4 linked regions of the Notamacropus eugenii genome follow. The protein of the gene in region 4 purifies or fractionates together with the protein of the main gene of each other region. This does not show direct contact. Links are inferred from orthologs where the notes say so. Each region holds a gene or a part of one and is shown on either strand. Other genes may lie near its edges.

What was found.
Region 1: the proteins of IKBKB (region 4) and RIPK1 fractionate together in Homo sapiens (co-fractionation; 3 studies listed by BioGRID, with this or other methods). This does not show direct contact. The link is inferred for Notamacropus eugenii from reciprocal best matches to the Homo sapiens genes IKBKB and RIPK1.
Region 2: the proteins of IKBKB (region 4) and CASP8 purify together in Homo sapiens (affinity purification with western blotting; 3 studies listed by BioGRID and IntAct, with this or other methods). This does not show direct contact. The link is inferred for Notamacropus eugenii from reciprocal best matches to the Homo sapiens genes IKBKB and CASP8.
Region 3: the proteins of IKBKB (region 4) and KEAP1 purify together in Homo sapiens (affinity purification with western blotting; 7 studies listed by BioGRID and IntAct, with this or other methods). This does not show direct contact. The link is inferred for Notamacropus eugenii from reciprocal best matches to the Homo sapiens genes IKBKB and KEAP1.

Annotation. Positions count from the first base shown.
Region 1 is NC_092875.1:172,236,837-172,244,687, forward strand, and holds the start of RIPK1 (receptor-interacting serine/threonine-protein kinase 1), read left to right. Parts: upstream 1-4,832; 5' UTR 4,833-4,957; intron 4,958-7,851. UniProt on the Homo sapiens protein: Serine-threonine kinase which is a key regulator of TNF-mediated apoptosis, necroptosis and inflammatory pathways.
Region 2 is NC_092877.1:297,410,429-297,418,279, reverse strand, and holds the start of CASP8 (caspase-8), read right to left. Parts: upstream 3,004-7,851; 5' UTR 2,867-3,003; exon of another isoform or gene 2,740-2,866; intron 2,532-2,739; exon of another isoform or gene 1,269-2,531; intron 1-1,268. UniProt on the Homo sapiens protein: Thiol protease that plays a key role in programmed cell death by acting as a molecular switch for apoptosis, necroptosis and pyroptosis, and is required to prevent tissue damage during embryonic development and adulthood.
Region 3 is NC_092875.1:79,705,428-79,712,319, reverse strand, and holds the start of KEAP1 (kelch-like ECH-associated protein 1), read right to left. Parts: upstream 3,006-6,892; 5' UTR 2,890-3,005; coding exon 2,638-2,889; intron 1,192-2,637; exon of another isoform or gene 1,157-1,191; coding exon 515-1,156; intron 118-514; coding exon 1-117. Other genes in the region: S1PR5 (sphingosine 1-phosphate receptor 5), read right to left, coding at 4,762-5,919. UniProt on the Homo sapiens protein: Substrate-specific adapter of a BCR (BTB-CUL3-RBX1) E3 ubiquitin ligase complex that regulates the response to oxidative stress by targeting NFE2L2/NRF2 for ubiquitination.
Region 4 is NC_092872.1:618,298,707-618,305,674, reverse strand, and holds the start of IKBKB (inhibitor of nuclear factor kappa-B kinase subunit beta), read left to right. Parts: upstream 1-3,963; 5' UTR 3,964-4,158; intron 4,159-4,840; 5' UTR 4,841-4,853; coding exon 4,854-4,958; intron 4,959-6,968.

The sequences.
Region 1 (7,851 bases), on a different chromosome or scaffold from region 4:
TTACTTACAAAGTGAATCTGCTTTTATGTTTTATTATTATTGTATTGCTGATATATTTTAATATTTAATATTATTTGATAATATTTTAGTTAATATATTTTAATGTTATAATATTTTAGTTAGGTACAGCTAAACAGAGCAGTGGATAGAGTGCTGGGCCTGGAAGAAGACTCATCTTCTTGAGTCCAAATTTGGCCTCAGAGTCTTACTAGCTGTGTGATCCTAGACAAGTCATTTTACCTTGTTTGCCTCAGTTTCCTCATCTGCAAAATGAACTGGAGAAGGAAATGGCAAACCACTCCATTATCTTTGCCAAGAAAACCCCAAATAGGATCACAAAGCATCAGATGCAACTGAAAAATGATACAAAAAAGAATAAATGGTTAATGTAAGAGTCTACAATTGATATTCTTTTCAAGTACATAGACCTAGAAGTCCTAGGAACAATTTTTGGAAGGTGAGAGGAGAAATGAGCAGAGCCCCCTTCAAAAAAGGCAGGCCTCTCACAGAGCAACCATGGTACAACATCTGTAACCAGGGTGGAGAGTCTGGATAGATGGGGTGGGTAGTAGCATCCAAAGTTAGGTCTGTCTTCAAGAAGATAGCTCTTCTCTTCTGTAATGGGAGGTAATTTCCTTAAACTAGTAAAGGGGAGAGGTAAGAAATGCCACCTAGGCACACCTGTGTCTGATAGCAGCCTGCTGTCTCCACTCTCCAAGGCCTTTGTATGCATTCTCAATTTCAGCTCAACAACCAATTAAAAGTCTTCACCTTCAACAGTGTAGTAAGTGGATAGTTGCTCAAATGCAAAATGTACACTTGCCAGAAAGACTATTTTATGGAGAACTCACACAGGGCAGTCATTCACATGGTGGTCAGAAGAAATGATACAAGGACACTCTCAAGGTCTCGCTTAAGAACTTTGGAATTGATTGTCACATGGGAGACACTGGCACAGGACTGCTCAACATGGCATGCTCACATCAGAAAAGGTGCTGTGCTCTATGAGCAAAGCAGGATTGAAGTAGCTCAAAAGAAACAAGAGATGTGCAAATTTAGAGTATTCAGAAAGACTATTTGTGCCTGACCTGTGGTAGAGCATTCAGAGTTCATATTGATCTGATCAGGCAGAGATGCTGAAACTTGACTCTATCATAGTGATACCATTTTGGTCCTCTTCCAGAATGGACAGCAACCAACCAACCAAATGGATAGGAAACCATGACATGGTATGTATTGGGACAGGGCCTCTCCCTTCCACATTTATAGACTTCCATAAGTAGCTCACCAATACCATCCCCAAAACCTCAAGGGGCTGGCAGCAAGTGAAGCAAGCTACATGTACTCTAAGGATGGGGTTCCCATTGGCCAGTCTTACTGAGATATACCAGTGAAGGGGGAGGTGTACACAAAGACTGAACTGAGTAGAAGGTCTTACTTGCTCTGTGTGATCCCCCAGGAAAAGTCACTTCACCTCAGTTTCCTCATCTGTAAAGTGGGGCTAAAAATAGCACCTACTTCCCAGGGTCATTGTGAGGATTAAGTGTTATATTTGTAAAGTACTTAGCACAGTTCTGATATTGAGGCAGCTAGGTGGCTCAGTGGATAGAGTACTGGGTCTAGAGTCAGAAATACCTGAGTTCAGTCTCAGACATCGACTAGCTGTGTGACCTTGGGCAAGTCATTTAACCTCTGCTTCAGTCCACTGGAGAAGGAAATGACAAACTATTTTGTCAAGAAAACCACATAGACAGTATTGGCATGCAATAGTCCATGGGTTCACAAAGAATTGGACTAAACAATATTATATCTTGATATGGAGTGATGCCAAAAAAATATATATATCTATATATCTATATACACACACGCACACACACACCATCTTCTTTTTCAGGAGCTAACACTGTGTGGGTGTGGATGGGTTTATGGCTGTGTGTATGCTATAAAAGATGACAACCATCCCATTAAACACCCTTCCTGGTCTCAGTTTGTTCACCTGTAGAAATAAGAGATTGGACTAAGGACTCTTTTCCAACCCTAATATTCTGTGACACAAATAATTTCTTTGTGGTGAGTCAGGAAATGGTGATTGGGGTGTCTAGAAATATGGCGACAGACAAGTTCGTGGATTTAATCCTAGAAAAAACTTTAAAACGATAGATTGAGAGCCATGGAGGACCTCAGCGAGAGGCTCCCATTTTACTACTGATGAAACTGAAATCCAAAGAGGGTGAATGTGTCCAAGGTCACAAAGAGAAGCAGAGCTTGGATTCAGACCCAGGTCCTCTGAGCCCAAATCCAGCACTCTTTCCATGTCCTTAAGTAGCATTAAGGTAAAATTAATTTTCAAGTTCTTAATAGTCATTGCTAGGCAAGGCACTTGTGAAAGGATCTTAGAAAAAATTAATATTTATATTTGCTGAGTAATTTTAAATCCTATGCATTCAGATTTTTTCAGAGAGCCAAGATGGTTTTTAAAACATTACTGGAAAAGAGTATATATCAAGATACTCTTATTCTATATGCTACTGATAAGATTTATCTTGGCCTAATAATGGAAGTGGAATCTAATTAAACTCTAAATATATGGTGGAAACAATAAAAACAGTGGAGGGGGAGGGAGGGGGAGCACAGAACTTCTCTTCTCATTTTTATTGAAATTTTCATTTGTTTTTACTCTATTGTAGTCTAACTTCCCTATCCTTTCAAATAAAACTGAACTATAATAAGGATTTTAAAACAAGCACTGTGTGCTTTCCTCTCTCTTATTACTCCCTAAGCTGAAAACCTAGGATCTGTTGTTCCCTTATCTACTTAAAAAAAAAAAAAAAGCTCTATCTTCCATAAACGTCCTTATGATTTCATAATGATTTCATTCAGCACCTACTTCATAGATAAGTCATGTGATATTCTTGTAGTTGGGAAAAGCCACATCCCTAAAACTTAGCTGTCTATTCCAGACACTGGGCAAGGTTCTTAAGATCCCACTTCTGCTTTCTGCAACAGTTTAGTGTTGCAGTATTAAAGCAATTTGATCTATACCACATACTATTTTGTTCCCATTAGAGGCCAGCACACTATACAATTGGAAGGATGGTCTATAAAGTTCATCCAGTAATTTTCTGCAGCAACAGAAGCACAGATCCAGGCCCTAACGTTATCAGATGTTGATGAATAGACATCTGTCCACATACTCAAAACTGATTCAAAGTGCTAGTAAGGCAGGATATGGACCTAAGTCCATATCATTGTTCATAACAGAGCAGTATGGCCTCCTCCAATGGGAATGAAATGACATGTGGTATGGAGTGAATTGCATTTAAATACTAAATCTGAACTGTTGGTCTGCAGAAAGCAGACAAGTATACCCTGAAGAACTTTACCAGAAGTCAAGGATGGACAGCTCAGCTTTAGGGATATAGGTTTTCCCAGCTACAAGGATAGTAAGTACATGGCTCATTTATGAAGTAGGCGCTAAACTGAAAAAATATGGGCATCTATGGCAAATAGCGCTTTTGGCTGAGAGGGTAGTAACAAAAAATAAAAATTTCAGTAAAAATGAAAGAAAAGTCCTGTAATTTTTTGTCTCACACCACTGTTTTTATTGTATCCACCAGATATTTAGAGTCTACCTGGAGTCTACTTCCATTATTAGGCACACACAATACACAACACACACAAACATACACATACACGTAAATCTTGAATAGACACTACAAATGAGCCATGAGCTAGCCCAGGACTGAACGAGAGAAGAGAATAGGCTACATTGCCATTGGGAAATTGCAGTTATTTTAATGACCACAAACTTTCCCTTGAAACAGGGACCAGTCTTTAAGGTTAACATTCTCACCATTATGTAAAATAGCTATAACATACATTATCATTACGTTATTAGAGAAATTCATATTTCTGTAATATTTTACTACAACTTCTGACAATTTCGGGGGGAGGGGGGGAAGCAACGAAACAAACCAACAACTGAATTCTGCTGCTCTTTAGTAACATATGCAAAGTCAGTTTCCCACTGATCTGAGGCATTTAGGGAAAAGAGAAACTGAGGTGGGGAGATGAGAGGGGTGGTGCTTGGACATCCCAAAGCAGGGACAGGGGAGTAAAAGATACACATGGTCCAACATAGTTCCCAAATCCTTCTTTGTTATTGTTATAACCAGTAAAGTTAGTAAAAGTCTTTGTGACAGAATCTGTGAGGTTTGTAAAGAGATCCCCTGTAGCATTCATCCAACAACCTTTAGAACAGAGATTTTTCGTGGACCTTTAATGGGTCTACGAATAGTTTTGTAACAGTCCACAAACTTGGATAGGAGAAGAATACATCTTGATTTTCACTAACCTTTAACTTGGCATTGCCTTCTATTATTATTTAAAAACATTATTCTGAGAAGGGATCCACATTCTTCATTAGATGACCAAAGGAGCACATGGCACGAAGGTTTACAGCATTTAATTGGACAAAAATCATCCGGATGTTCTGATATAAATAACATACTTTCCTAAAAGAAGGCTACTACTTTTTTTTTATTTTACCCTTATCTGTGTGGTGCTAGTGTTGTTTCCAGGATACGGACCACGAAGATAAGAAATTCCGCGTCAGACAAGACTTTAGCCAAAACACTAGAAACAGTGTTTCCGCTTCTGCTATGTATCTGTGCAAGCTTGCCGGAGAGTTTTCAGGGGCGGTGACGTGGGGCTCCGGCTATATAAAGGCCGGAGAGGGGCAGACTGAGCAGTCAGAATCACGGAAGCGTGGCGCATCCCTCGGCTTCCCTACTCCTTGTCCTCCGCCCTGTCGCCAATCCCCACCCCGGCAGCCCCTGCTGACAGTCGGTAGCTCCCGGACTGGGAGATCGCTCTGCGGGCGGGCCAGCCCTGCCCCGCCAAGCGCACCCTGTTGTCACCAGCAGTCACGTAGCTGCGGGACCCTTGGAAGAGCCAGGTGAGCGGGTCGGGAGGACGGCCACCCCCGGGCTGGCGTGCGCCAGAGTCGGCCTTGGCAGGGCCCTCTCCGGACCCCAGGGACCCTTCTTCTTTTGGGAGGGCTTGACGCCCTCCGTTGCTACTGTTGCAATCCCAGAGTTTATTCGGGCGGAACTCGGGGGTGGCCTCCAAGCACTTTCTTCTCGCTCTGGGCTGGGGAGAGCTTTGTGTTGCCCCGAAAAAGAAACTAACTTTGCCCCAAGTTGCGACTGCGCGGTTTCAGCCTGCCTGGTTGATTCGTTAATGGCGAATTTCTGGGCAAAAACCTGCGCCGCTGGGGCCTTCCCTATCTGGACCGGGACTGAGGCCGCCGGTCACCAGACGGGACGGTCCTGACAGCCCTCGAGGTGCAGCCCCGTCCTGCTACCTAGACGGCTGCCCGCCTCTTTCCTGGAAGCAGAACTCCGTGGGCAGGGTTGTGGTCTTGGTCTGTTGCACTGGAGGGGCGGCCCGTAGTCTGTTCTGGTCGGGGTGGAAAGGCTTTGTTGAGCCCTCCAGCCGTGAACGTGACCTTCCCGGAGGGACTGAATCTGAGAATGCCAGCTTCTCTCGTCCCAGAGTCAGTGCTTGATTATGAGAACGACTTGCTAATCTGCCTCTGTCAGTCTCTGTGCCCCTGTCTCAGTTTCTTCTTCTACGGATATAGAAATACATCTATGAGACTATATTGCTAAAATGCAGAAGTGTAGATGGCAGAGGTGTGCCTCCCAGGATGGACTGAGTCAGCTGTTCACACCGGGGTATCTAGCCTAGTTGACTTTGGGAAGAAAACTGCTGAATCCTACTGTGGGCAACACTTGTCTCAAGACATTTCCCTGACTTTAGTAGGCGAATCAACCGAGAGGAGAAATTGTGTGTTAGTAGGAATGGGTGTGGGGTGGGGAAGGTAGAGGTTTCGTGCTGATTGGACAGCCCCGATCTTCTGGGGAAGATTGGGGTGGGGTGGGGATTTGAGGGGGAGAGAGGGGGGAAGTGGACGGAAGGCAGTGTCCAAACTAGTTCTTAAATGTTTTACGTCACAACCCCGATAGATAGTCTCCGTCTAGGCTTTAGGTAAAAATCAACCAGATGTTTTGATATAACCGACATTTTCTTCTCTTACATATAAAGTACATTTTGCTTTTCGAAAGTGAGTTATTGCTGTTTTATTTCTGCGTACTGTCTTGGTCTTATTTTTGCACCGTTTATTTATGACAGATGCATAATTGTTTAAAGTTCTGTTGGCTATTTTAATAAAATGTGGCATTAGCAATAGAATTTCTAGTGCAGTTTTCACTTAGAGTATTTTACTCAACAATCAAAGTTATGGCAAGTTATTATAAATCAAATTAGAGTCATTGGCCCTATTTGGTTCACAGGATCATAGACAACTTGTTCTTTCCCACTTATATCATTCTCTTCCAGTTGGAGAAACTAGGGCACAGAGCTATCAAATGAACTTCTGAGTGCCTGGGGTAACCATGGGCACTTACGCCTTTTCCAGAGATGCTGAGGAAAATAGGATTTCATCAGGGAGTCTCTCCTCCAACGCACACTGTCTGTGTGAGCCTGTACCAGTATTTCCAAGATTCTAAGTTGGAGATAAGGTGCTGATCTGCATTGAGATTCAGTTTCCTCACCCTGAAGCTTCCCATACCAAATGAAATAATAGGTCTGATCATTATCCCTATCCCTATGTCCACAGTGAGATGTAGGAATCAATAAAGCAGTCAACAAGCATTTAATAAATGCCTACTATGTGCCAGGTATTGGGGATAAAAATACAATAAATGAAATAATCCCTTGGAGCCTGCACTTTCAAAAATAGAAGTAACAATATTTATAAACAAAAAATTATCAAAGAAAGATTTTAAGAAAGGAGTGTCCTTGAAGGTTTGAGTCTGTATTTCTAATGTATAAAGTATTGAGACAGGCAGTGTGAGGCATTGTAATAATAATGATGATGATAATAACAGATAATTATATAGCACCTACTATGTGCCAGGTACCATGCTAAGTACTTTACAGTTATGATTTCATTTGATCTTCACAACAACTCTGGGAGATGCTAATATTGACCCCATTTTACCGATGAGGAAATTGAAACAAATACAGATTAAGTGACTTACCCAGGGTCATAAAATTAGTAAGTGTCTGAGGCTGGATTTTTTTTTTTATTTTTAAAATTTATTTAACTTTTAACATTCATTTTCACAAAATTTGGGGGTCAAATTTTCTCCCCTTTTGTCCCCTCCCCCCACCCCAAAACACCAAGCATTCTAATTGCCCCTATCACCAATCTGCCCTCTCTTCTATCATCCCTCCCTTCCCTTGTCCCTATCTTCTCTTTTGTCCTGTAGGGCCAGATAACTTTCTATACCCCATTACCTGTATTTCTTGTTCCCTAGTAGCAAGAACAGAACTCGACATTTGTTCCTAAAACTTTGAGTTCCAACTTCTCTTCATCCCTCCCTCCCCACCCATTCCCTTTGGGAAGGCAAGCAATTCAATACAGGCCATATCTGTGTAGTTTTGCAAATGACTTCCATAATAGTCGTGTTGTGTAAGATTAACTATATTTCCCTCCATCCTATCCTGCCCCCCACTGCTTCTATTCTCTCTTTTGATCCTGTCCCTCCCCAAGAGTGTTGACTTCAAATTGCTCCCTCCTCCCATTGCCCTCCCTTCCATCATCCCCCCTACCCTGCTTATCCCCTTCACCCCCACTTTCCTGTATTGTAAGATAGGTTTTCATACCAAAATGAGTGTGCATTTTATTCCTTCCTTTAGTCGAATGTGATGAGAGTAAACTTCATGTTTTTCTCTCACCTCCCCTCTTTTTCCCTCCACTAAAAAGTCTTTTGCTTGCTGAGG
Region 2 (7,851 bases), on a different chromosome or scaffold from region 4:
CAGACATTAAAGAGATTTGCAAAACTATGTGAAACAGTGCCAGTCTCATCATTAATATTCTTTTGTTTTGGAAAACAGTAATTTTCATTAAAATATTATTTATGTTAACATAATGACTTGTTATTTTTAAATGAATGAATTAATAATTTTTTTTAAATCAGTAGATACGATCCACACAAATCACAGCGTTACTCAGGGGATGGGATGGAATTTCAACACAAGCTATCTTTCCCTTGGTGCAGACTCCTTAGGTGTACATGTTACCAGTAAGCTTTTCTAGGACAGAGTCATGTCAAAGTGCATGTGGATTATGCCAATTTCATCATCCCTCTCCATGCTAGAAAGAGTTTGGTTACAGATTAATAATTTTTTTTCTTAAAAACCTTTTCTAGCAGACTGATACATGTATTATATAAGTGCCTACAGTATTCATGTTTTTCTTTGATGCTTTATGCAGATTTCGTCATTGGTTCTTTCACTTTCATAGGATGATAGATTCCAGAAGTAGACGAGATCTTCCAGGTCACTAAGTCCAAAGAAACTGGGCAAATTACACAACTTGTAGGTGTCTGGATTTGAGCCCAGTTCTTTTTGACTCCAAGTCCAGTACACTATCTATCCAAGGGTAGGAAATCTATAGTCTTGAGGCCACATGTGGCCCTCAAAGTCCTTGAGTGAGGCCCTTTGAATCCAAACTTCACAAAACAAATCCCCTTAATAAAAAGAATTTGTTCTGCAAAACCTGGACTCAATCAAAAGGCCACACCCAAGGACCCAGAAGGCCACAGGTGATCTGGAGGCTACAGATTCCCCACGTCTGCATACTGCCTTTCTTTCTTTCCTTTTAATCCTTCCTTTAGATCAACCTTCCTAAGATGAATTTGATTTGCTTGTGACTATTAGGGACAATAGCTCTTTGATAAGACCACCTGACAAATGGTAGAGAGGTTGTGATCAGCATTGGTGGAGGGGTCTTCTCATCAGGGAAATTATAGATCCTTAAAGTATTGGAATAAACATTCCTTACAATAAGCTTATCATCATTTTCTAACATTCCTTTTGCCTCTCTTCAATCCTCCCATTGCTCCCCTTCCTCCAGTTCTCTCAGCTGAGAAGCTTGCCTCCTATTTCACCAAGAAAGATTGAGACCATTCACAAAGAGCCCCCTCTTCTTCCTTCTTCATCTCCTATCACTCAGATGCCTTGCACTCCTATTTCCTCCTTCACCACTGTCTCACATGATGTGACCCTTCTATTTGCCAAGTCAAAGTCCTTTACACACAAGTGATCTCACTCCACCCTGTCTTTTCCAGCAGATCACTCCTCTGTCATCTCCACTCCCACTAATCCTCATTTTCTCTCCATCTACTGGTTTTTTCTCTACTGCCTATAAACACACCAGTAAGGGCAAACACAAACCTTCCCCAAAACCCTTTCCTCTCTGGTCCTCCCTCCTGGGTCTTCTAGATATTTTCTACAGTGCCCAAGAAAGAACTTTTTCTACAATGTCTCTTTACTCTGGAACTCACGCTACTCCCAGACTTCATATTCAAAATGGAACCCTCTGACTCTTGGACATTCGCTTCCCCTGGGCTCCACCCAGAACCTCCATCTTAAGGAGGTGGCCTGGGCCCATCAGGTATTCATTCTATTCCAAGTGGCACTCTTGAATCTCCCAAACATTTTTTTTTTGCACTTGATACCTCTTTTTCCTTTCCTTTTATATGTTTTCCTCCTTTAGATTGTGAGCTCTTTTGAGAAGCACGAATTCTTTTTATATCTCCATTGCTTAACACAGCCTGATGCACAGTAGGCACTTGACTGACTGACAATCAATACCTTCACTTTCGTTTCTCTCACTCTCCCAACTTTTTAAAATCTGATTCAACTAAAACTGCTTTCTCCAGATTTACCAATGATCCCTTAAAAGCATATCTAGTGACCTTTTCTCAGTCTCGATCCTTCTCGACCTCTTCTCCCTCTATACTGTTTCTGTTTGGCGATGTTATCAGCTTCTATGGATTTCACGATCTTTTCTAAGTTAAAGATTGTATTTATTCATAACTATTTATCTAGCCCTAATCTCTCTCCTGACCACCTTCCTCATATCTCCAACTGCCCTTCATAATCTCGGTCCCCTCTGACTTCTTCCACCTCAGTCCCCTCCACTTACTCTTTAACTTTTCCAGGTTTTCTTTTTTTACAACTTAGTAACCTTCCCTCCCCCCCTCCAATTCCCATTTACTCTTCAATGTTGCATCTGGAGCCATCTCCAGTCGTCCTAATCTATAGCTTGCCACTGGACCCAGAACTCACTGGAGAAGAGAATGAGTCTGGTGACTTTGCACAGCCCTCCCTCACTTAAAAACTTATTTGCAAGTCGAGACAGCACCTTCCTCATGTCACAACAGACAACAAACACACACAATGCTCCATCTGTCACCTTAAGGCATTTTCATTATTGTTTTCCACTCATGGAAGTCTCTCCCTCCCCAGCTACACCTCCAGACTGCCCTGCATTCAAGTTCCAGGTAAAATTCTACTTTCTACATCTGGTCCTTTGTCATGCTAGCGTCTTCCCTCTGAGGCTATCTCCAATTTATCTTTTATGTATCTTATTTAGACAAGATACATGTATCTTGTTTGGACATGATACATGTATCTCGCATATCTTGCATATCTTCCTCGCGAGACTGACAACTTTCTGAGAACTGTTTTTTGCCTTTTTTTAATCCCCAGCCCTTAGAACAGTGCCCAGCACAACAGAAGTCACTTAAATCCTGGTTCTACTTCGCGAAAAAGTAAGAGATTGGGTTTCTCTCCCCCTTCCCCCCCTTCCTTCCTTCCTTGGACCGTGGCAACTCACCTACCGAAGTGGATTCCGCGTTCAAATGGTGGCGGGGCCGCCTCTCTTATCTCTCTCGGTTCCGCACTTTCAAAGTTAAGTCAAGTCACCAGCCCGGAAAGATCCCGCTGGCTGAGCTCTGTCTGGGCACACTGCAGGCTTCAGAAGCTGTCCAGCGCGAGCCCCGCGGCGCCCGGAGATACTGATTCTCAGCAAAAAAGAAAAGAAAAGAAAAGAAAAAAAAGTCAGCGAAGGGAAAACCAGCACATTTTTTAAACTGGGAACTGAATGAGTCATTTCCCCTCCCCACCTTCTGAAAAAAAAAAGCTTAAAGGACCAGGACCTAATTGTCTGCTTGACCCTAAGGTGAAGTTCAAAACAAGGAAACGTCAATTTGAAAACCGTCTAAGGGAGCCCCACCCTGGTTCAGAACAGGTAACTCCAGAGGGCAGGTGGTTGATTGGGGTCTTTAATATGAGAAGACAGCCCACCCCTACCCAATTCCTTTGCAGAAGGGAGAGGTCCACCGTGCGGAACATTGCATATATTCTCACTTTCTTCGTTCGATTTTAGGTTTTTTTTTAATCCTTCCTTTTCCTCCTCTCCCCTTTAAAAATATTTGTTATATAGATGGCTCTCTGGGAAGGGTAGGGAGAGGCATACCAGTAGACATTTAGTGATGGAAAAAAAAAAGATGACTATAAAAAGAAAGACAAGAGAAAGAATTAAAGAAAGAGAAAGGGAAGAAGAGAAGGGGGGGAGGGAAGAGAGATCTAAGATTAGTAAAGTCGGGCCACCAGAAGAGCAATATGATAGGCCAGTTGCAAAATTTGCCACTCCAAAAATAAACACTTTTCCCCATCCCCATCCTCACTAAATTCCTGAAATTACTTTTCCCCTCAACTATCTGAACCCCAACAGTCTCAGCTCTATTGTGCTCCTCTAGCTCAGTAAAAAAAAAACTCTCAGAGAGCAAGGGCTGTGTTTTCTCTTTGCACCCCCAGAGCCCAGCATTTTACCTACATGCTGATAAATCCAGGATGAATTGAGAAGAAAATGATCAGAGACAAATTAAATTCATAATCCCTTGCCCGAGAACCTGGCTTAGTAAGGCAAGAGGATCTCATTTGCTCTTTTAAGACTATTTGAGACTCCTCACTAGGGTTTACAGATACGGTGGGGAACCTGATGTGGAGAGGGGGGTGAAGGCTTTGCCCAGAGTAATTGATTTTATTTTTGTTTTTTAGGGCTGTGATTTCTGCTGCCCTCAGCATGAAGAGGAAGAGTTTAGAGAACAGCTAGTCAATCTCCTTATTTTACAAGTAAGAAAACTGAGGCCCAGACAGAAGCTGTTGGCCCCCAAAAACTTCTCTAGCTATCAGCCACCTTGAGGAATCTGAACCAGTTACCCACCTCCTGGCTTCCATCCATCTCTTCCTGCAGGGACTTCAGTTACGTCTACCTCCCTTCCCCTCCCCTCCCCTCCCCTCCCCTCCCCTCCCCTCCCCTCCCCTCCCCTCCCCTCCCCTCCCCTCCCCTCCCCTCCCCTCCCTCCCCTCCGCTCCCTTCCCCAGCTTCTCCTTGATCCCCCCCACCCCCACATCTTCCTCTTCCTTAAATGGGCTTCTAGATTCACAGGGCCTTACCTCCACCTACTTGTCCCTGCTGTGAGACTAGCTTCCTAGGACCCTCACAGGACACATCATCATCTACCATGAGATTGGACAACACCAAGAAGTAGGAAGAAGAGTAAGCATTTATTAAGCATCTTCCATATGCCAGGCACTTTGCTAATCACTTAACAAATGTCTCATTTGAATCCTCACCACAGGTGCTCTTTTCATCCCCATTTTCCAGTTGAGGGAACTGAGGCAGACAGAGGTTAAGTGACTTCCCATAGTCACACAGCTAGAAAGTGTCTAAGGTAGGATTTGAACTCAGGTCTTCCTGACTCCAGGCCCAGAGCTCCACCTATATTGAACAATATTGAACCTACTTCCCCAAATAGATCTCTCTCCAATCACTGCTATTCTTTTTGGCCTCATTTCTCAAAGGCCAGAATACTCTCACCCCCTCATACTCTCCCCATTCCAGTGATTCTGACCCCATGGTTACTAATGTACAAATTCTGTTCCCCATCTCTAACTACCCGTTGGTTAAGAAATATCCCTAAGACCAGTAAAACCACATTATTTTCATATATGTATATGTATGGATACATACAACACATACATATATTTATATGTGTAAATATATATAAACATTCCTATATATGCTAACACATGTGCACATATATGATGTGCATATATACATATGCACACACATGCACGTGCGCACGCACACACACACACATACTACAAGCCTTCTTCCCATCCCACTCAACCCAAACCCTAACAGAATCCTGCTCCAGATGTATCAATCCTGTTCCACTGTACTCTCTGGAATACTTGCTCCATAATTAACAAATTTCCTTTCATGTTAAACCTCTTCCTTTCTCTCTCCTTCTATCTTCTGGCACTGACATTCCTGATAATGACATTCCTTCCACCACACATCTTCCTGGTACTGGCTGCATTGTCTGTTATACCTCCAACTAGGTAGTGTAGTAAATAAAACAGCTTGAGGGAAGGAAGACCTGAGTTCAAATTCTATCTCAGACACTATATTAGTTGTGTAATCCTCAGCTAGTCACTTAACCTCTATCTGCCTCAGTTTCCTCATCTTTTTTTCTTTATATTTAAATTTATTTATTTAAGTTTTCAACATTCATTTCCACAAAATTTTGGGTTCCAAATTTTCTCCCCATTTCTCCCCTCCCCCCACCCCAAAACACCGAGCATTCTAATTACCCCTATCACCAATCTGTCCTCCCTTCTAACATCCCTTCCTTCCCTTCTCCCCATCTTCTCTTTTGTCCTGAAGGGCAAGATAAATTTCTATACCCCATTGCCTGTATTCTTATTTCCTAGTTGCAAGAACAATACTCAACAGTTGTTCCTAAAACTTTGAGTTCCAACTTCTCTTCATCCCTCCCTCCCCACCCATTCCCTTTGGGAAGGCAAGCAATTCAATATAGGCCATATCTCTGTAGTTTTGCAAATGACTTCCATAATAGTTGTGTTGTGTAAGACTAACTATATTTCCCTCCATCCTATCCTGTCCCCTGTTTCTTCTGTTCTCTCTTTTGATCCTATCCCTCCCCAAGAGTGCTCCCTCCTCCCACTGCCCTCCCTTCCATTATCCCCCCCACCCTGCTTATCCCCTTCTCCCCCACTACCCTGTATTGTAAGATAGGTTTTCATACCAAAATGAGTGTGCATTTTATTCCTTCCTTTAGTTGAAGATGATGAGAGTAAGCTTCATGTTTTTTCTCTCACCTCCCCCCTTTTTCCCTCCACTGAAAAGTCTTTTACTTGCCTCTTTTATGAGAAATAATTTGCCCCATTCCATTTCTCCCTTTCTCCTCCCAATATATTTCTCTCTCACTGCTTAATTTTATTATTTTAAGATATGATCCCATCCTATTCAATTCACCCTGTGCTCTCTGTCTGTGTGTGTGTGTTGTGTGTGTGTGTGTGTATGTGTGTGTATAATCCCACCAACTACACAGATACTGAAAAAAGTTTCAAGAGTTGCAAATATTGTCTTTTCATGTAGGAATGTAAACAGTTCAGCTTTAGTAAAGTCCCTTATGACTTCTCTTTGCTATTTACCTTTCCATGCTTCTCTTGATTCTTGTGTTTAAAAGTCAAATTTTCTTTTCAGCTCTGGTCTTTTCATCAAGAATGTTTGAAAGTCCTTGATTTCACTGAAAGACCATTTTTTCCCCTGAAGTATTATTCTCAGTTTTGCTGAGTAGGTGATTCTTGGTTTTAGTCCTAGTTCCTTTCACTTCTGGAATATCATATTCCACACCCTTTGATCCCTCAATGTAGAAGCCACTAGATCTTGTGCTGTCCTGATTGTATTTCCACAATACTTGAATTGTTTCTTTCTAGCTGCTTGCAATATTTTCTCCTTGACCAGGGAACTCTGGAATTTGGCCACAATGTTCCTAGGAGTTTCTTTTATTGGATCTCTTTCAGGAGGTGATCAGTGGATTCTTTCAATATTTATTTTGCTCCCTGGTTCTAGAATCTCAGGGCAGTTTTCCTTGATAATTTCATGAAAGATGATGTCTAGGCTCTTTTTTTGATCATGGCTTTCAGGTAGTCCCATGATTTTTAAATTGTCTCTCCTGGATCTGTTTTCCAGGTCAGTTGTTTTTCCAATGAGATATTTCATATTATCTTCCATTTTTTCATTCTTTTGGTTTTGTTTTGTGATTTCTCGGTTTCTCATAAAGTCATTAACGTCCATCTGTTCCATTCTAATTTTGAAAGAACTATTTTCTTCAGTGAGCTTTTGAACCTCCTTTTCCATTTGGCTAATTCTGCTTTTGAAAGCATTCTTCTCCTCATTGGCTTTTTGAACCTCTTTTGCCAATTGAGTTAGCCTATTTTTCAAGGTGTTATTTTCTTCAGCATTTTTGGGGGTCTCCTTTAGCAGGATGTTGATCTGCTTTTCATGCTTTTCTTGCATCTCTCTCATTTCTCTTCCCAATTTTTCCTCCACCTCTCTAACTTGATTTTCAAAATCCTTTTTGAGCTCTTCCATGGCCTGAGCCCATTGAATATTTATTTTGGATGTTTGGGATATAGAAGCCTTGACTTTTATGTCTTTCCCTGATGGTAAGCATTGTTCTTCCTCGTCTGAAAGGATGGGAAAAGATATCTTCACCAAGAAAGTAACCTTCTGTAGTCTTATTTTTTTTCCCTTTTTTGGGCATTTTTCCCAACCAGTTACTTGGCTTTTGGGTCCTTTGTCAAGAGTTGGATATACTCTGGGAATATGTAAGATCTCAGTTCCTCCAAGGTGGTGCAATCAAGCTTGTACTCGTCTGGACACAGAAAGGGATTTTTGTGCCCAGAATCTTAGCAGTTACCTCTCCACAGCCACCTGGCCTC
Region 3 (6,892 bases), on a different chromosome or scaffold from region 4:
CCAATTGATGCAGGCATGGAAGACCTCGGACTCACAGCGCACGTTGAGATCGTCCCGACTGATAAGTGTAACCAGCTGGCAGTGGGATAGGTTAAAGAATTCCTCCTGCTTTGCTACCTGGTAGAGGGGATGAGAGGTAGTGGGAGCAAGGAGGTTCTTGACTGCAGTCCAAAGCGATGCCCCCCCCCCCCCCCCCATCCTCCTGGGATTGGACTACCACCATCAGGAGCTGTGTACTTCCTGCTTTCAGTGGGGCCACCCCTGAGTGGAGACACAGGGAAACAGAATGCTCCCAGCTCCTCCCCAAAGCTCAGGCAGTACTATTAAACAAATGAACAAGTACAGGTAGCAGCCAGACTCCATCAAATTATGCTTTTTCACTCTGACTCTATACACCTCAACCAGAGGTGTGATGTTTTGATAGGCACAGGACTAGAGTTATCTCCAGAAAGTAAATCACTCACTACCACTACCACCTGATAACTCCCAGGCCACCAAACATATACACACTTACCTCCCCAAAGTGCATATAGATGTACTCCCGGGCACGCTGATGGAGTTCAGCACAGCCAATTTGCTCAGCAAAGTTGGCAATGCCAATGGCATTGCTGGGATCCAGCTGCTGCACCAAAAAGTCACTGCAGGCCCGAACTACGCTGTCAATCTGGTACATGACAGCCCCATTCATCAAATGCAGCACACATTTCTCCCCCATGGAGATGGAGGCAGTGTAGGCAAACTCTATGAGTCGTTCCATCACCTTGGGGTGTATGCCCTCAATAGAGACCACTTCCATGCCCTGCTCCCGCAACCCATTGGTGAACATGGCCTTGAAAACTGGGCTGGAGGAGGCGAGTACAACCTTGTGAGCCATAAACTGGGCAGCAGGTGTATTTTCGTATTTGACCTGCAGAGTCACATCACATAGCTGCTGGCTGAGCCGAAGCTCATTCATGATGCCAAAGGCCTGTTTGGTGTGGTCCTCTAAGGTATAGCTGAAGGTCCGGTTGCCATGCTGGGAGGGTGTCACCTCCGCCTTGCACTCCGTGGCATACATCACCGCATAGCCGGCCCCCCCAGGGCGTTTGGACAGAAGGGGGAGAGAATGGGCACAGGGAACACCCCTGCTATGCCCAGACACTGGCTTCATCAGGCTCTAGAAAAACATTGCCACCGCCTGGAATCACACACCTGGGAGTGAGGGTGAGGGGATGGTGATCAGGCCCTAGGTGCCAGTCCTGGTAGGGAGAACCCACTCCTCCATGGGCTTGCTTCTCTCTCCTGGGGAAACTTCTCTCCTTTGCTAAGAAGACTATCCCAGGGGAGAGCAGCCAGCCTCCACCCACCCTAGGTGCTTAGAATGCCAACCTAAAAATGAGCCCTATCAATATCAGCTGGCACTCCAAGTAGCAATCCTAGCCTGGGTGGAGCCTCTTTCAAATGAGACAACCTGTGTAAAGTACTTTGCAAAACTTAAAAGGGCTATGTAAATAGATAATAAGTATATTCCCCAGCCAGACTCCTGGTTGAGGCTTCTCTGGTCTGGATCTGAGCCTTGATGGGATCGTAGACCCCAGAGGTCAACCTCATTTTAAAGATAAGGAAGCTGAGGATATGAGAAGTTAATGCACAAGTGGTAAGAGATAGAATTCAAAACCAGTTCCTGAGACTCCAAACTCTGGCTCCAAGTGCAAAAAGCAGATGGTCCCAAACCAGTGTTACAACTACCCTAAATATCTGAGAGATACCTTTCTGTCTAAATAGTGGACACCCACATCCCTACCAGGCACCCCCCACATCCCTACCAGGCGCCCCCCACATTACCTAACTCGTATGTGACACCCCTGCCTTCCACTCCTGTCCTGCTATTTCGGGGCTGGTGGCTCCCTCTGCGCCCCTGCTCTGGGTCATCCCTGGCCCAGCCCCGGCTGGAGGAAAGCCCCAGGTTCCAGCCTGGCGGGACAGCTTCCTAGCTATGTGACGTCGGGGCTCGCGCTCCTTCCCTTCCCGAACCTCCCCCCACACCCTCCCCGGGCCGCCGGGCCGCCCAAAGGGGACAAAGCCGGGGCAGCCGCACGAATGTCACCGGTGGGGCCCGGCCTGCCGGCCCGAGGCCCGAGGCTGGGGCGGCGCAATGGCTGCGCACCTACTTCCTGCCCCGGCCCGGCCCGCCCGCAACTGGCTCTGCAGGCCCTGGGGTAGCCCGGGATAGGATCTGGGCCCCTCCAGCGCCGGGCCCTGAGCCCCAGAACCCGCCCTCCGAAGGAGGGAACCCGGCGCGGGCGGGGAAGGCCGGGCCGACGTGGGGAAACAAAGCGGCGCCGGGCCGGGAGGGCGCCGGGCCGGGCCTGCCCGCGGTAAGGGTGCGCCTGTCTCCAGACAGCCTCGACCCGCGCCGCCAGGCGGGCCCCGGGCTGCAAAGAGGATCCGGGGCCCGCCACCCCGAACCCCTCACAGCGGCCTTCCCCCCGGCCGGGCGCCAGAGCCCGAACCCGAGCAGGCACCGAGGTCGCGGGCTCTTGAAACGCCGTACCCGCTGCCTGGTCCCGGCTCGGGGCAGGGCCCCTGCCGGCCGCGGCCTCCCGCAGCCCCGTGGGCGCGAGCTCCGGCGGCGGCGGTAGCGGCCGCGTTACTCACCCAGCCATGGCCGCACTCCTGCTCCTCCTCCGCCGCCTCCGCCTCCCGGGCTCGGGCGCCTCCATCGCGGCGCGCGGGGGGGATGGGGGTGGGGGGAGCGGTGGAAGGGAGATGGCGGGGAGGGGGGGAGGAGAAGGGGCGGGGCGAGGGGAGGATAAAGTCACCGTGACTAAGCAGACCGCGCGCCCCGGCCTTGTCAGAATAAGAGTCCCTTGGTCCGCCACCCGGGCTTCGGCCAACGGGGTCGCCCATAGCCGGGTCCTCCAGCCAGCGCAAGGGGAAAAGGGGACACGCTTGGTTTTGCTCCCCCAGAAAGAGTTAGGAGGCTAGGTTAGTAGGGGAGGGGCCCTGCTCCCGCCTCTTTCCCCTCCCCCGTCCGAGGGTCGTCCCTGGGTAACCCAAGCGCGAAGGAAAGCGTGGAAACGGAGCTACTTCGTGTGACTGGCGACAGAGGCGGAGGCTGGAGGGCCTCCCCTGGGCTACCTTCCCCGACCCCGGCGCTGGGGGGAGTCTGAGCGCCCTTGGGGGCTAGCCTGTCCCGGAAGCCCAGGGCGTGATGCGACCTCGGCTGGGGCTTCATGGGCCCCTGGCCCCAGGACTCACCACAAGCTCTCGGGATGTCCGACTTTGCCTCTTGGACCGACCCCAGTGGCCCAGCTTGTCCGTGACTCACCAGCCCTGCCCCAGAAGCAGCCCTTGCGGCTGGCAAACCTTTCGCTGCTTTCGATGCTTCGCCCGCCCCTCCTTCCAGGCTAGCGCGGCTACACTCAACACCTCACTTGACCCCCTCTCCTCCGGCCACCTGAAGCCAGGCCTTTGCCTTTCCTAGGCCGGGCGTAGAGAGTGATTGAGGATCCCAAAGCACGTGCTGTTCACCACCGCCGAGGCACCTGCCCGCACTCACTGAGGCCTGAACTTTTGGAGAAAAACGGCAGTTCCACCCCGCCCCCATCCCCGAAACACACCTAGAGGGAGGGAGAAAAAGGAGAGGGCGACTCCTCTCCCAGCCCTGCGGGTGACTCCGGCTCCTACCCAGACGGGCGTGACACGGGTGTCCTAGACCAGGGGTCAGAGTCCCCAGGAGCTGGGTGCCTCTCTACTCTTGGAAGCCTCCCTCTGCTTCGGTGATAAGAAGTGTATCAAAGACCTGGGAATCCAAGGATCCACAGGATGCTGGTGGCTGGGAAGGGAAAGGATGGGTGTAATAGAAAGGACCAACTCTGGCCAGGGCTGCGGCAGGATCATTGTAAATCCGAGGGTCTCAATCTAAGCGGATTTAGAGGAAGATCCCGGGGTTCCAAGGCATTAAAAGGGATCGCCTGGGATTAGGGGAAGGAGTTTCAAGTAACTCAAGGCCACAGACTTGGACAGGACTTGGAATAACTAAAACTTGGAATCTAAGGAGAGGTTGAGACCTGAGCCAAGATGCAACTGGAATTCTCCCTTCCCCTTACCCCCCAACTCGCCCGCCCATCTCTGGGTTTCCAGCCTCCTTAACAAAGCTACCTAGGTCCTCTGCAGTTCCGGGGGCTACCGGGAGGTGGAGGCGCGCAGACGCTAGTAGGCTAGGGCAGCGAAGTGTAGATCAGATTTAGAAACTGAGACTCTAAGGTCAGAGCTGTGCAATCTGCATCTCAGAAGGGTAGGGGACTGACTGATCGTGGTAGAGCTCTTAGGTGTTATTTTATGGGAAAAATAAGAGCAACACTTGGATTCGGGTTAGCGTATGCACAGATCAGCCAGGCATGAGATGGGGGCAGCACAAAGATTTTCCCACAAGCCTTGACCAGCAGAGAGATTGAGTCTTTGGCAAGGGCTCTTCCCTTTTATCGCTTATGTAGGGTGGCTAACTTGGAGTTCCAAGCGAAGGAAGTTAGAACCTAACCTGACACTGACGACTCTGGGTTTTTCTAATGAGGACTTCAAAATTTCAGGCCAGGTTCTCCTCGAGATCTAGGTTTCCGAGGTGTGTCCGTTCCCCGATACTCAGGCTTTCTAATACAAATTACTTTATTTTTCAAACAACAATAAAAACAACCTGTAATCTAAAAATAGTGCAGAAGGAGAGGACTGGGTCCTATAGAGGGATTGGGGAATAAAGTGTCAGTCTGTGACTTTCTGCACCTAAGTCTTAACTGGAGTGGGCGTGGCGTTGCTTGTGGAGACGCTCGTGTCGACTTCATGTCGGTTCGAGGAACGTTCCGACTTGCTGGTGCTGCACTCCAGTATAGGCGGTAGCCGGAGGCGTACGCTGGCCACACCTTCACCACCACCTGGCCCTGGGCGCAGGGGCCTGTAGCAGCAGCAGCAGCAGCAGCACGGGTAACAGCAGAAAAGGCGCAGGAGCGCACGGCGTAGGTCCCGGCTAGTAAGCGTGTAGATAATGGGATTGAGCAGCGAGTTGGCCATGGCTAGGCCCAGGAAGTAATCTGCCTGCAGGAGTACTGGGCAGGCTCGAGCTGGGCACGCTACATCCAGCAGCAAAAGCAAGAAGAGTGGTCCCCAACACAAGATGAACGCCAGCAGTACCACGGTCACCGTGCGCAACAGCGCCAAAGACTTGGGCAGGCGGCGGGACCCTCCGGACGCAGCCCGAAGTTGCAACTTCTTTGCGTTGGCACGCACCAGATAATAGATGCGGGCATAGAGCGCAAAAATAGCCACAAGGATGACTAGGAAGGCAAGCACACAGAAAAGCACGTAGGACTTGGCATAGAGGGGAAGCACTGTGGAGCACTGGGACAGGCGGCCGAGGCAGTTCCAGCCGAGGCCAGGAAGAAGCCCGAGCAGCAGGGACGCCAGCCACGCAGCTCCCGCCAGCAGCAGGGTGCGTCCCCGCCGGTGTGTGGGCGCCGGCCTACGGCTTGTCATGGTCAAGTGTCGCTCCAGCGCTATCGCCAGCAAGCTGAGCACCGAGGCAGCCAGTGTCACGAAAACACCGCCCTCGCGGGCAAACCAGAGAGCGGGCGACAGGTGCAAGGTGCGGGCCCCAGACAACAGGATGTTGATCGTGTAGGCGGCGCCGGCTAGCAAGTCGGAGAGGGTCAGGCTTCCCAGAAGCAGGTACATGGGCGCATGGAACTTCTTGTGCCGCCAGAGGACTAGCAGAACCGCCAGATTCTCCAGGACGATGAGGCCACACACTGCCAGGAAGACTGCAGCACTTGCGCGCAAGCCGCTGCCGGGATCATAGCGAGCCCCGTTCAGTTTGCCGGTGTAGTTGTAGTGCAGAGCGATCACCTCACTCCCTAGCACAACCTGGAGCGCCGGAGGCGGCTCCATGGTGGCCTAATTCCCCACCTCCTCCTCCTCGTGGTTCTTTGCCTCTTGAGGCGCTTCACCGATGCGTGGCTACATCACCATACTGGGCATTGGGAAAGAAATCGTTCACAGGCCTGAGCCCTGGATCTTGGTCCCAGCCCTGCTGGAGAAGGAAGAGGACCAAGTCAGTGGCAGAGTTCTCCCCAGAGCCAGCCTCTAGAGATTCCAGCGCCCCAGGGTCCTCCTTCCCCCCCCTCCCCCAAACCTTCCCTTCTCCTCAGATTCCTGAGCCCTGGGAGTTTTGGCCACTTCCTCCGGAAAGCCTCTGGAGTAGCAGGAGCGAGAGACAGCTTCTCCCCCTTTCCCCATTCTGGGAACCCAGCCAGCCTAGAAAAAAGACCGAATGAACTGCTGTGCCCCGCAGGAATAAGGTCCGAGATGCCCTTGGGGCCATTGTGCCCCTCTCTAGAGCAGAAACCGGCTCAGCTGTCCCTAGAGCCAGTCTGGAGTGAGGGGGCTGAAGGGGTGAGTGGGCTTAGCCCTTGGCAAAGACCTCGCAGGCAGCTCCAGAGTGATGAGGAACAGCGGGGGAGGTTCCAGGGAGGGGATGAGTTGTGACCTCCGGGCCAGGAACCAGGCAGGCACCGGAGCTGGGCCAAACCAGTGGGGCGGAGGCAGATTGTCCCAGAACTCCTAGACACACGCACAGACACAAAAGCCACACACACAAGTAGAGTTGCACAGGCAGGCACAGATCCACAGACATAAAGCAATTACACATACACAAATAAGTAGACACGCAAATTCACAGAGACTTAGCGTTATACATGTGAACAACTACAAATTCACAGATACACAAGTCTTCCAATCACTGAATTTCAGAGTTGGAAAGCACGTTAGAGACCATTTAATTCAATCCTTAACTGAAAAAGGACTTCCCCACCCCCTCTCTCCATCATCCCATCCAGTCTCCAGATTTAAAACACAAAAGTAG
Region 4 (6,968 bases):
AACCATCCTAAAACACAGGTTGGAGCACATCACTTCCCTATTTAAGAAGGAATTGCTTTTCCAACAAAATACAAATTCCTTTGACGTTCATACATCCTGGTTTCAGTTTACTTTTCTAGGTTTATTACACATTACTTCCTCTCAAGTTCTCTTGGGTTTCAATCAAATCACCTGCTTCCCCAGCATAATATTCCATTTCCCATCTCTGTGATCTTTACGGGCCATCCCCCCATTGCCTGGAATTCGCTCTCTCCAAATCTCTAAAAAGTACAGGTACTTTTTAGACTCTCTAACTTCTGTGAACACCAACTCATGGGTCATTTCCTATCCCAGTTGATAGTGTTCTCTCCCGGTCCAAAATAGTTGGTATTTATTTATCTATGCCTTGCCTCTGACACATACTGCTGCAGAACTGTGAACAGATTGGTGCCCTACACATCTCTTTAAAACTGGAAAACGCAGAGAAGGGGCTAAACTTTATTGTAGAAGAAGTTTTCTTGTCCACCAGTTCTCTGTACCAATGAAATCACATATCTAGTCCCTTTCTTTGCATATCTGATTAAATATATCCCTCCCAACAGAGTGTGAGCTCTTTGAATGAGTGGGCGGGGGAGAGAGAAACATTTATTAATGATACCTGGTATCATTAATATTTATATAGCACCTAAGATTTGCAATTTCTTTACATATAAATTAGGCAGTCGGGTGGTACAACAGCTAATACTTGAGTTCAAATCTCACCTTAGACATTTACTAGCTGTGCAACCCAGATGTTTTGTGTTTCTCTAAATGTCCTTATCTCTAAAATGGGTATAAAAATAGCACTTACCTCCTAGAATTGTTGTGAGGATAAAATGGGATAATATTTGTAAGATGCTTTGTAAACAACAACCTTGTGAGGTGCGTGCTGTTATTATCCCCATTGAGGAAACTGAGTCTAAACAGTTAAGTGACCTGCGCAGAATTCATCAGTGTCTGAAGTTGGATTTAAAACTAAGATCTTCTAAACCCTAAACCCCAAGTCTTTGACTCTACCTACAAAACCTACCAGTTTAAGGAGGAGTGGGGAGGGGGAGGGGAAGGTGCTGGACAAACTCTGGGAGAGAGAAGTGGGACAAGTGTTCATCAAGCTCCCATTACTACTGTGCCAAACACTTTACAAATGTTAGCTCATTTGATCGTCACAATAATCCTCGGAGGTGATGGTATTATGACTCCCATTTTACAGCTGAGTAAATTGAGGTAGGCAGACCAGTGACTTGCCCAGGATCACACAGCTCCTAAGTTGTTTTTCAGTTGTGTCTGACTCTTTATGACTATTTGGGTTTTTCTTGGCAAAGATACTGGAGTGGTTTGCCATTTCCTTCTCCAGCTCATTTTACAGATGAAGAAACTGAGGTAAACAGGGTTACAGGATTTGCCCAGGGTCACATAGCTAGTAAGTGTCTGAGGCCAGATGTAACCCCAGGTCTTCATGACTTCAGGCCCAGAGCTCCATCTACGGATCCACTGTACCACTCAGGTGCATAGGGATAGAAAGACAAAAGTAGAGAGTCCCTGCCTTCAAGGAGGTCACACTCTAATTCAGACCAATAGGGAAAGACAACACACTGGGGGCAGTGTAGCCAGGAAGCGGCACTTTGATCAGTAAAGTTATAGAGATGGTGGGTAGGGACTCAGGGGACTAGAATACTGTACCCTTTGCAAGAAGAAGGCTAAGTTGACATGGTCATGCTTCTAGAACTGAAGAAGGGTAGAAGGGAGAGAGAAGGAAAATATAGTATACTCAAAGAAGAGAGGCTATTGGGTGAAAAGATGGTCAGGGAATAGGGAATGATGCTACAGGAGAAACATCTGTCTAAGTTCATGTGGTGGGTTAACTGCTGCCAAATATATATTTACCACAAAGCAGAAAATATAGAGCTAAAAACCTAGGTTTTCTGATGATGCTCAAGCCTAGATCAGGCCTCAGAGAAAACCTGAACAATCGTTAGGATTCTGACAAGGCTTCTTATAGGCAAAATTATGTCAGAGTGACTGAGGAATAATTCATTTTCAGATTGTAATAGTGTACATTACATTTAGGTCATAAAAGCTAAAGAGAAAATAGAGCCATGCTCCCTTCAATGTCATAAAAGTTCAACACACTTAGTTAAACATTTATAATTTCGTATATCCTCTAAGGGAACAAACCTCCTCAAACAAACTCTATAAGTAAACTAAGTCAGAATACAGATTAAACTACATTTAGAGGATTTACAAATAAACTGATTAAAGAGGAAGATTTACATGGCCAAGAACTCAGAGACAGTTGAGAATCTTTCTCTGGGTTCTTATTTAAGGAATGTTTAAGGATCTAAGGGCTAAGCAGCTAACTAGGCAGCTCAGTGGCTCCAGCACTTGATCTGGAGTCAAAAAACTGTGAGTTCAAATTTGGCCTCAGTTACTTATTAGCTGAGTGACCCTGGGCAAGTCACTAACCTCCTATTTGCCTCTGTTCCTCATCTATAAAATATGGACGCACTAGAGAAGGAAGTGGCAAACCACTCCAGTATCTTTGTCAAGAAAACCCAATTTACAAGTCAAATATGACTGAACAATAACAAGGTTCTAAGTAAATTTCCATATCCCATGGGACAGGTTTTGGTCACGAGAATTAATATAGACTTTCAGTTAACCAAAATTTGCTGGGGGCATGGTTCTCAGTCCCAAATAAATAGGAAATGAAAAATTCCCATGACAAATTGAAACTTGTCTAGAGTCTGCCTAAAACAATGTACCATTCACCAATGTGGATGTTGGGAAAACTGAGGGAAAGAACTGTTTCCCATTTTGTCTTTGTGTCTCTAGCACCTACCTAAGCACAATGCTTTGTACATTGGATGGATGGATGGATAGATGGATAGATGGATGAAATTATCTAGCTCAATGCTCTCATTGCATGAGTGAGGAAACTGAGGCTCAAGTAAGTTGTCCACAGTCATATTGGTAGTTCTAAATCCTGAGAAATTTTAGACAGAAGGTTTTTCCTCTATAGCAAGCTGCTTCTCCCTTTATCAAGGTTAAATTTCTTTTTGAATTTCCTCATACTCCTTGGGCTTCAAACACTGGCTTTTAATGCAACACTACCAGGTTTTTGTAAGAGCAAGAAGGAACTTACTTTAAACACCCCTTAGATCAACCCTGTCATTTTTTAAAAGAAGAAATAGATCACTGAACCTCAGAGAGGGGAACTGATTTGTTCAAGCCATCCAGCTATTGCAGAAGAGTAAAGGAACTGACTCAATCAGACCTATCTTCTCTGACTTTTCCTCCAGGACTCTTTTGAATTTATCTTTCTTTCTTAGTTTTGGCACGGTGGCAATTTCCTTTGGAATGGGGCTTAACTGTGACTGATCCTTCCAGATAAAAGGAAGAGAGCCTCAAGAAGGGAGGGATAACTGACTTCTAAGGGGGATGACACTGTGGTAATGGCAAATTCTTGTAAATCATCAGCCAATCCACCCTAAGCAGGGACCCAGAAAAAATTCCACCTCATGCAGTGTCAGAGGAAACAGAAAGAGCCCTCCCAGCTGTGGGAAGGCTGAGGAAATCCCCATCAGTGCCTCCATTCCCAGAACCTGCTGCTAGTCAGTTTCATTTGTCTAAGAAAGGGCCTGGGGCTTGTTGCATTCATTCCCTGCTTGGGGGTGCTGGGATTTGGTACCAGAGTATACTGAGAAAGGACCGTCCTTCCCCTTTGTCCCCCCAATATACACCCTCGGATTTTGGGTTTTTAGTTTTAATTTTTAGAACAATACACATCTTCCTGAGAAATCCTGGGAGCTGGGGTCCACTGTTGGAAGAGTCAGGTGGGTTGGAGGGATGCATAGGATGTCCAGTCTAGAACACTAGAAGCCCGGAGCTGAAGGCTTCCTCGGGTCCCTGTGGCCCCTTTAAGAGCCTGCCCGTCCCCCGCCATGTGGCCCGCTGACATCAGAGCAGGAAGTGTTTGAGGAAGTCTAGAGCTAGCAGGCAGGCTGTCTAATCCAGGTCCCTGAACCCTGATGTGGTCTGGGGGGGCACCCACCGACCTAAGTCCCTACAGGTGGTCTCCGCCTCCCTCCCTGTTCCCTGCCCTGGCAAGGGCCGCCTCCCCCTTCCCCAACCACCAGGCAGGTGAGTTCACCCCTTACTTCTCCCCACCCCCCAACCCCCGGGACCCTGAGCTGAGACAGGTGGCTTAAGGTGGGACCAGCTGTGACCTCTTTCTTGTCCCTCTCCTTGGTCACTACTCCTGACATCCAGGGAGATAATCAATCTTGTTTGTCCTTTCCTGGAGGTTTGGAAACAAATTTCTACTGAGTTCTGGAAGTTTGCTTTGCCCACCCACTCTGTTTTGTTCCTGGTTGGTGAGTGTTAAAATCCGGGAGATTGCTGTAAAGCCTAAAGAGAGAAAATACAGCTGGTGTAGGTTCCCCCACTGATCCATTTGAAGTGCGTGGTTTGGCATGGTGGGGAAGGAGGATTCATTCATAGGCTCTCCATACCATATAAAGGCGTATGTGATTTCCCAGGAAGTAAAAAATTGACTTTCAAATTTTTTATCCAGGGAAAGTAGAGGAAGGGAGTCTTAAATGGCACCTTAGGGGGATTCCTTTGGCAATCAAGGGATCTCTTTGAGTAACAGAGGTAGGAGAGGTGTTGAAGAACTTGTTAGAGAAGAGTTTCTTTTTTAAAAGAAAATAAAAACACACTTTTTCCTTCTCACTCACACCCAAAGGCAAGAATCCTCTGTCCCATTCCATCTCTCCAAGGGGTCTTGTTTTTCTTCCTCTGATCCTCCTCTGAATTCCCACAGCAGTAACTTCAGAATGAGCTGGCCACCTTCTCTTCAAATGCAGACTTGTGGGTCCTGGGAAATGAAAGAACGGCTTGGAACTGGGGGATTTGGAAATGTCATCCGGTGGCACAATGAGGTAGGTAGGACCTCTTTCTACCCTGGGAAAGAACAGTCATGAGGTGAGGGGGGTTAGTGCATTTCACACTTCACTTCCCAAGTGGCTCTAGTGAGATTCCTTCTGTTTGATCTAGGTGTGCCTATCCCACCATGTTCTGGGTTTTGATTTGGGTCTTGGTGGTAGGGTGGTCTCATTTGGAGAGAAGAGCCAAAGAGGCAGAAAGAACCTGGATCAGAGTAGGTTCCTCAGATTTGCTAATCTTCTCTAGCCTGCCTGTTGGAGAAACCTTGGACATGTTACCTGCCTAGTCAATCAACTGTCATTTATCAAATAAACCTGACTATGTGCAAGGGAAACAAGGAAAAAGTGAAAATCCCTGACCTCAAGGAGCTTATCCAGCACCTGGATTTCATTATAAACAACAAACTAATGTCCTGACAAAATCCTACCAAAAACCCCAATTTCCCTAAGGTTATTCCACACCAGAAAGTTCCGCAAGTTCTTCACCATAATCAGGAATCTGGCTGAAATGATGGGTCACATCACTGTTGGTTTGTTTGCCTCTGAGGCTCTTGACTGGACAGTCATGACCCATGATTATGCAACTCTAAATGTTAAAGTACACCAGGCCTTCTCAATTCCAAGTGGACAGGACTCTTCCTGGGTATTTGGAGGTTAAATACAAACAGCTTTGGAGTCGGTTGCTTAGGAGAGAAGCTCTCATTCCTGGTGGAGAGTCAGGAGTACTAGCCAGTCCTATACCTGAAAGGACCTGCTGGAAAAAAAGACTACCTCAAACTCACTCAAATCGCTCCACCCACCCTATGGTCTAGCATTAAGTACAATGCCCCCTCTTAGGGTCACCAAATTATTCCTACTTTAGAACATTAAATTCAATAAATATTTATTAAGTACCTACTATAGGAAAGGCACTGTACTGCAGGCTGTGGATAAAAAAACTAAACAGTCTCTGCTTTGAAGGAGTTCACATTCTATTTTAGAGATATGATGGGGACAAGGATAAGTCAATACAAAATATTTAACCCGAGATGTTGATAAAGGGTGATATTCTTATAAAGAGAGTGAATAAATAAAACGTACAGAATCTAGACTCCTTGACTGTCACAGGGACCTATCACTTCCATTTCTGTAGTGCCTTGTAGCATACAAAGTCTTTTCCTCACCACAACCCTATGAAGTCGAAATTACAAGCATTTTTTTTACCAAAGCTTTGATTTTATTGGTTTATGATAATATCAATAAGGAAACATCCTATACCTATATAGATGTGCACATTAGAGAATTGCCTGGGACAGGGATGAAATGACTTGCCCAGGATCTCATGACCCATTTGTGTAAAAGATGGGACTTGAACCTCGATCTTTGGACTTAGAGGCCTTCTCTCTATCCACTGTGCCGTGCTAACTCTCAGGTTTTGTGAGTGTTATGATGCTCATTTTACAGGTTTAAATTTTTTGCCTAAGATCAAATGACTAGAGGGGTTTTATACGGTAGTATTCTTATTGTTGAATCATGCCTGACTCTTCATGATCCTGTGGACCATCTCATCGCTAGCCAGAGCTGGCCATGGGGTTTTCTTGGCAAAGATACTGGAGCAGTTTGCCATTTCCTTCTTCAGTGGATTAAGGCAAACAGAGGTTAAATGACTTGACTAAGGTCACACAACTAGTAAGTGTCTAAGGCCAGATTTGATTTCAGATCATCTTGACTCCAGGCCCAGTGCTTTATCCACTGATCCATCAGTTGCCTCTTTATATGGTAGCACCAGGACCCAAAATTTGTTATCCAGAGTTCAGGGATCCTTGTCTTGCACCATCCTCCATAACAGATCCCTTCTCAGCTTAGTCAAAGGCAGTTACTTTTGCTTTAAAAAAAAAAGGAAAGAAGGTAGTCAAGGGAAGGAAAAGGAGAAGAGGGAGAGTAGAAAGGAGAAAGGAAGAAGGAAGGACAGAAAGAGAAAGAGAATAGGAGAAGAGAGGAGATAATTTCCATGCAAGTGTTCCAGCA